2 linked regions of the Mus musculus genome follow. The protein of the gene in region 1 interacts with the protein of each later gene in a pairwise test. Links are inferred from orthologs where the notes say so. Each region holds a gene or a part of one and is shown on either strand. Other genes may lie near its edges.

The links. The genes of interacting proteins can lie anywhere in the genome.
Region 2: the proteins of Ptn (region 1) and Taf1d interact in a two-hybrid assay, tested with the Homo sapiens proteins (2 studies listed by BioGRID and IntAct). The link is inferred for Mus musculus from reciprocal best matches to the Homo sapiens genes PTN and TAF1D.

What each region holds. Positions count from the first base shown.
Region 1 is NC_000072.6:36,744,071-36,747,718, reverse strand, and holds part of Ptn (pleiotrophin precursor), read left to right. Parts: intron 1-3,213; coding exon of another isoform or gene 3,214-3,215; coding exon 3,216-3,330; intron 3,331-3,648.
Region 2 is NC_000075.6:15,304,771-15,309,028, forward strand, and holds the start of Taf1d (TATA box-binding protein-associated factor RNA polymerase I subunit D), read left to right. Parts: upstream 1-1,443; 5' UTR 1,444-1,513; exon of another isoform or gene 1,514-1,678; intron 1,679-2,099; exon of another isoform or gene 2,100-2,220; intron 2,221-2,957; 5' UTR 2,958-2,983; coding exon 2,984-3,051; intron 3,052-3,754; coding exon 3,755-4,145; intron 4,146-4,258. UniProt on the Homo sapiens protein: Component of the transcription factor SL1/TIF-IB complex, which is involved in the assembly of the PIC (preinitiation complex) during RNA polymerase I-dependent transcription.

The DNA of each region.
Region 1 (3,648 bases):
AATTTATCCATGGATTAAATTACTGATAAAGGCAGAATTATTCTAACAGTCCTCAATATCCTACTTGCTAGAGTTGGGGACCAAATCTCTAATTCATAAAGGAAACTTTATATGCAAACCATAGAGCTGTAGAGGTAAGCCATGCTGATAATGTAATTCCTAATATTCTAGATTATTTCTATGTCTATCCTGCAGATTTTGTGGTAACTGCTTCCAGCAGTTGTTTTATTAGCAGCCCTACCACTTACTCTCAATATTTTGGTATCAAAACCAGTTAAATTGGTTGTGATATTCTAATATTTTTCAAACACAATCTGAAAAAAAAATACTCTTGTGATAAAGTTTTGAATAAAAAGTTGTGCCTCCAGCTTTAGGGAGGAGGACCTCCTATACATTCTAATCAACCCTGTTTCAGAAGAAGAGGTAAACAGTGGATGCTTTCCCACCAATTAGTTCCTTTATTTGTCTTTGAGTTTCAGGGTTCATTGAGATAACTCAACAGTATGTTACACCCCAGCATCCATTTATGGTAGCCTTCAATTTGTTAACCACAGTGAATTATATCTGTCGGGTCAAATATAATAAAGATGACTGAAGGTGGTAAGAAAGACAGAAATTTCTCAAGAGAACTTGGCCAATTTAGTAAGTTTTATCCTTCCATTGTTTCCTTTTCTCAGTGTGAAAAGTAATTACCCACTTCCCTAATTACATTGTGTGTCTAAGGGGGACTTGTTTTTCCTTCTGCAGTCATCTGGTACCCAGCATGTTGGAGAACAAGCAGAGTTAAACTATATGCAAGGAAAGCTTTTGGTTTTACTTGATGCTGATGATAAACAGCCAACTCTACATATATCACATGCAAGCTGCTATCTGCATAATTACTCATGTATCTATGTACCAGAAATGTGCCAAAAGTTAGTTGAGTATTGTTTGAAGCACTCAAATGGTCTTACTATTAAGTACTGTTCGATGCACTTGGGTAATTTTAATCATTCCATTTCTTTTACTCTTCTTTTAAACCTTTATTCTTTTTACACTCCTGTAAAAGCTAAGATAGTAAGATATTGGCTTAGTCAGAACGACTTCTGACCTCTTCATCACCCCACTTTATTAAGACTAGGGAGGATCATCACTCATTGCTTGCTCAGAAAGTTTTCTCCAGAGTTGTGCTTTCTCAGTGAGAATTTTCAGATTCTCACAATCATCTACATCATAACGCTGTATTTAAGGTAGTTTTTAATCCAGGAAAGTGAAATCTATTTTGAAATAAAATTGAAAAGCCATTAATGAAACAGTTAATTTGCCTTTTGAGAATTCTCAGAAGTTTCACCACAGTGCTTAGGCACTACAAGAATGTGCCTTTGGGGAAAAAACATAGTTTCTGGTTGGTGTTACACCTAATCATTTTAATAGTTTCTGAATATCATAGGAAAAAGAGCATCATATAGGTGCACAGGGCACTCATTTCTGATCACTCCCACAAGCTTGCACATCAATGAGTCTAGGCTGGCTTTGTTATGTCTGGTCATGAGAGGAGGACTCAATTCAGAGTTTCTAGGAGCACTTCGGCTAGACTGTCAACCCCATTGGAAGAACAACCTAGGTTGGCCTGAACACCCAGTTCTCCCAGAGTCTAGACCACCAACCATGGAGTGTACCTGGAAGGATCCATGGCTCCAGATGTATATGTAGCAGTGGATGGCCTTACCTGACAGCAATGGGAAGGGAGGCCTTTGGTCCTGGGGAGATTTGATGCCTCAGTGTAGGGGATACAAGAGCAGTGGGGCAGGAGTGTGTGTGTGTGTGTGTGTGTGTGTGTGTGTGTGTGGACCTTCATACAGACAAAGGGGAGGGAAGAAGGCGGAAGGCGGATGTGGAAGGGGATGGTGGTGGAAGGCTAACCAGGAAGTGGGATATCATTTGAGATGTAAACAAATGGAGTGGTTAATTTTAAAAAAAGTTGAAAAAAATAAAGCTTTCCATATCATAAAAAAAAAAAATCCAGCATTAGGAAGAGCAAAGCTACCAGTACCAGATTGCAGATGGGGATAGAAATGGAGCTGAGTAGCTAAGCAGGGTTTATGTTAATTTTAGTTTCAGGTGAAATATGCTTAATATGTTTGTTCATACTATTGAATCCAGTCATTGACAGCAAAACAGAATGTGATTATATGTGACAATTCTGACATCATGGAAATTGATATGAGCTTAGCAACCATGGTCTCACACACACACACACACACACACACACACTATTGTTCACTAAAGAGATTATAAAATAAAACTAGTCTATTGCCAGTCTTGGAAAAATAAGTCACATAATAACAATAACCAAAGATTAGTTCTGCACTTTCATGTGACCTATAAAATGCCATTAACACCGTAGACAGAGGTAAATGACTATCAAGCAAGTTTCTATGGTCAATTGCTTCTTTGGGAACGTTTAGGCAACGTGATCATCTTGACAGATGGTTATCACACATGTCTTTAAGTTTAACAGAGATCTTCCTAGTGTTATCTAGGGATTTTGATTTATGTGAGATGAGGAGTATTTTATATTTTGAGCAAGTGTAATCACTGTTCCCTAGATCTGGAGAATTAATGGGTCTTGATTAAAGTCAGTTTATAAGCTGATAGTATCATAGCATGCTAGCTCTATTTCTGTGTTTCACTATAATGGATAATGGGATAATCACACTATGCTAGAAGCGATCATGGAGAGAAAAGGATCAGAGATACTACTCATTGCCAAATGTACCTAAAGATAAAACAACAGCTCACGCTATTGCAGGCCATCATTTGCCATGACCATTCTGATGAACCCCATGACTGTAATGCCATGAGTATTTCTAGGAACTTCCAGACAACCTGAAGATGGTTGTAGCTGTTATCACCAAGTGATGCAAACAACAAGATTGGGTTTGGGCTCTGCTTAAGATTATGCTTTAAAATTCTCTTGCTTTCACAACTCCAGTGTCATATATAATAAATGGCTATGACGTCTGTTATGAAGAATGCTTTAGTATTGTGAGAGACTATGTAACTTATTTATGGCTGTTGGTGAGCAACAATAGAATTATGCTTGTAATAATTAATACTGTTTTTTTCTAAATCTAGTGTTCCAGAAGCCTCACATAGTGTGCTTCATCAAGGAGTGGGATCTTTATCCTGACTTAGGTAGAAATCACCTTTCCCCCTTTCTCTTTACTCCAGAAATGTCGTCCCAGCAATATCAGCAGCAACGTAGAAAATTTGCAGCTGCCTTCCTGGCATTGATTTTCATCTTGGCAGCTGTGGACACTGCTGAGGCCGGGAAGAAAGAGAAACCTGGTAAGCAGTAGATTCACAGAGAGATGCTTCACTGGGTGGTACTCATGCACCCATGACTAGATGGTACCTTTGCAGACCAGCTCCCTGCCTAGTCCCTCCCACCATTTCTAACTTCCTTTTAATTATTTCGAGAAATGCTAAGTGATAGTTGTCTTGTATTATCCCATTATACTAATGAATGAATATGCCACAGCATAGTCATGAGTTGGCTTGTAGCTGGGGGAATCTGTCTTAGTTTGTGATCTAGACCACATTTATATCATATCTTTTTTTTCAACCAGACAAAACCAGACCATCCATTTACGATAAAATTGCTAG
Region 2 (4,258 bases), on another chromosome or scaffold:
TGCTGAGTGTCATGATTAAGGCCATCCTGTATTCAGAAATTGTCAGGCCCTTTAAAGTCCCTCAAAATTCTCAAATCCATGACAGACATATTGTACTTCTTACTGTACAGAAAAGGAAACAAAATTTATTCAAGATCATTCAGTTGTTACATGGCAGAAACAGGATTCAAAAGCAGGTTCAAGCCAGGCATGGTGGTGCACATGTTTAGCTCCAGCACTGGAGGCAGAGGGCTGTAAAGGCAAGAGGTTCTCTGTGAGGTTAAAGCCAGCCTGGTTTACAAATCAAGTTCCAGGATCGTCAGGGCTACATAAAGAGACATGTGTCAAACAACAGCAGCAACAACAACAAACTCAAAGGCAGGTCTGTAAATCCAGAATGCACCCCACCCTAAGCTGAATCAGCAGTGAAGAAATGGCCCCTTTGGCTGACACCAGGAAGACTTCAGAATAATCCTGCAGCACCAGGAGAAGTGCCCATCTTCCACCTAGAGGGGACTTCTCTCTTCCAAATATATTGCACACAATATATTGCTAATTATTAGGTACTTATGATATACCACACTTTTACGATATACTAGACTAGTAGGGTTCAAGCACAAGGCTGGCTTTACAGCTTTGCAAATAGTTCATTCAGTCACATAGGACCCTATATTCATACTGATCTAACCACACACACAGGTCTTTGTTTGCTTTTTTTGTTTTTATTTTTTTTTCTCCGTGGTGCCATGTACACTAGGCAAGCTCTCTATAATCCAGTTATATCTCTAGGCCAACAACTTTACATTTGAAATGTGTTTGTCTATGAGAACTCAAGGGATAGTAATATCTGCCCTCTCACCACAGATCTTGTCACGCACTCAATAAGGTGTTTGTAATGTTCCCTTACAACTTAGTCCTAGTGGACCTGCATGGGTGCAAAGCCAGAGTCAATGCTGCAGGATTCCACAGACTGTTGGACAGTGTGTGCAGGGGTCAAAAAGTAGAAGGTGCCGGGCGTGGTGGCGCACGCCTTTAATCCCAGCACTCGGGAGGCAGAGGCAGGTGGATTTCTGAGTTCGAGGCCAGCCGGGTCTACAAAGTGCCTTCCAGGACAGCCAGGGCTACACAGAGAAGCCCTGTCTCGAAAACCAAAAAAAAAAAAAAAAAAAAGTAGGAGGCAAGTGAGGACACAGGGACAGTACAGAAATCCATAACACATGCCACCCTTAGTCTGACAGAGAGCTTGGCACACTGCGGGCTCAGTCACCACAACAAATCGACGCTCACCTGGCCCGCAGTGTCCTCCCACTTGCAGGAAGGCCTTCTTTCCACTCAGGTTCGAACACAGGTTTAGTCTCCTGCCAGTCTTTTCTGATAGCTCTAGGCCAAGGGAGAGCCGGGGTACCGCCCCTCCCGGAGGCCCGCCCACCACACGCACAGCCACGCCCACCAACGTGTACTCACGCGAGATTTCGTCCTTGTCCTAGTCCGGCTGCTGGGCGCCGGGAGCGCTCTTTTCGACGCGGCGGAAGAGGTAAGCGGTTGTTCACTGTGGCCGCTCAGGTCTGCTGCGGGCGACGGGGCCGCAGGGCGGGGTTCTTTGGGCTGCGGTCCGCGCGGAAACGGCGCTCTTGTAGGGCCAGAGCAGCGGGCCGGAATCCCGCCATCCGCAGGCCGCACGAGGCTCCGGGTCGCTGTTGGGAGAGGCCGAGGTGTTCTGGGCCTGGAGGGCGTTTTTAGTGCCGTGTAAGGGGTCGCGTGCTGCCTGCGCACATCTCTTAGGTTACGTTCCGAAAGGGTCTTGCAGCGGGCCCACGGCGCATAGTCGACGCAGCTCACCACGTGGCCTCCAAAGCTTGTAGTCTCGGAACTGTAAAGTAGCGTACAGGTGGGAGTGATTCCTAGGAATTATCTTTGATTTACTCACAGGCATATCGTTGGGGCGACCGGGTCAACCTTAAATTTCAGTTTTGGTGGGTTAATTTAAAAAAGCAATTCATGTAGCGGGCATTTTGCAATCTAAGGTCGTAGTCACCCTGTTTTTCTTATCCTCGAAAGTTGTGATTATTTTTAGTTCTAGGATTTTGTGTAGCCTAGGAAAACTGTAGTCTTTTCTCCTTTAGTACATATGGCCGTTTTGCCTGCCTAATATTTCTACACCACGTGCACGCAGTGCTCACAGAGCCCAGAAGAGGACATCGAATCTCTTAGGACTGCTTACAGCTATTTTTAGGCTGGCATGTGAGTTCTGGGAGTCTCATCTTAGTCCATTGACAGTATTCTATTCATTTCTTTTTTGGGGGGGGAGGTTTCGAGACAGGGTTTCTCTTTATAGCCCTGGCTGTCCAGGAACTCACTTTTTAGACCAGGCTGGCCTCGAACTCAGAAATCCTGCCTCTGCCTCCCGAGTGCTGGGATTAAAGGCGTGCGCCACCACGCCCGGCCATTGACAGTATACTTAACTGCTAGGCTATCGTCTCAGCCATAATCTAAAGGTTCTTTTACACGTTGTTAGGATTACAGGCCTGTGACCATTTGATCAGTAGTGATTTTTGAGCCACTATCGCCATATCCCAACTACCCGAACTCTGTTTCAGTGTCGAGTTCGCAGCCCAGATTGGAATTAGAAATGCTACTGTGAGGCTAGGTGGTGGTTAAAGCCATGTCGGGTTTTGGGGGTAGATTTAGTGAGAAAACAAACTGCATTGGAATGTGGCTTCTTGTTTTCACTCACATATTTAAAGAAAACTATGCCATATGTGTGAGGGTACTCTGGAAGACAAAAGATCACTAACAGGGAGCTGGAGTTAACAGGAGATTGTGAGCAACCCGATGTGGATACTGGAAACAAGCCCACTCAGAGGCTTTAAAGTAGATATAAAATGTACTATCCATAGGGATTTTACAGAAATTCACACAGTGGGAAGGAGTATGCTGAACTTAGACTGCTGGTACATCATTGAAATCTGTGATTGCAGAAAATTGGGAAAGGCCGCGAAAAGTGATGGCTCAATCAGAAGTGAATTCTGTCTGTGTGGCATCGGATAGAGCTGGAGATACTGGAGACCAAAGGTAAGGTAGCTTTTGTGGGTAAACTAGAGATTCAGTCCAAATGTTCAATTTATTTTTGAGACATCTCAGTAGATAGAGCCATGGCTGCCCTCACCCAGGTAATCCTGCCCATCTACCTCTCAAGAGTTGGGATTAAAGGCATGTTACCACACCCTGCACTCCAGCAAGTTATTTGTAATGCTTGTACTTAAAATAGATAGAGAGAACCTCAATTAGCATTTATATTAGCTTGACAGTTTGATTAAAACTGTATAATTCTACCAACCTGAACATGTAGGAATGGAACATAGTTTATTTTTTCCAAGAAAACTACATTTGGGGGGCTAGTTCTGGTTTTATTGGCCCATTTTTGTTTAGTAGGTAGATAGTGGAAGCTTTAGTGATTAAGTGGTGCTTTTGAAAGTTAAAACTGAACATTTTAACCAACTGTCTTGTTTTAGATATAATAGTAAGTACTAGTGGTTAACTGGTACTGAATCTATTCTAAAATGCTGGGTATGATTTTAGGGGGTTGATCTTTGAAGAAATGCACTTTGAAATTTTAACATGGTTTTTAGGTTTGTCATGCTTTTGTCTGGTGTTCTAAGGGCAGTAAAGGCTGTTGGAGCTGTGAACTGAAGGAATGCATGATTGGGAGCATGGCCTTGAAACTCGGGGAGGATTATAGCTAATGATAACTGATGCAGTTTCATTTTTGTTTTAGTGATGACTCCTCTGATGGCAGCTTATTTAAAACTCAGTGTGCTCCTTCACCTATACAAAAGCAAAGACACCCTACTGTGAAACGTGTTACTTTACCTGCAAGTGTTGAAACAGATTCATCAAGTGACTCTTCTATAGAACCAAGGCCTCTGACTTTAAAGGCTATTTTTGAAAGATTTAAAAAAAAGAAACGGAAAAAGAGGAAAAAGAGAAAATATGAGCCAAAATTAAGACCAAGAGGAAGACCAAGAGGAAAACCATCGGGAACGAGGATCACTAGAAGGTCGCAAATAGATGCAAAACAAATTAAAGACAAAGGAGCTGTGTTTCCATTCTTAGAATCTGAGAGTGGAAGAAAACCTTTACCTTGGAAGAAAATTTTAACATATGAGGTGAGTTTTTTTTTTAAATGTAGGTGAATACATTAGGTAAGATTGAATGGTTTGTTGGCCATTCTTAATTGTTTGAGGGACACCTGAAACAGATTGTTACTTTTAACAATAGT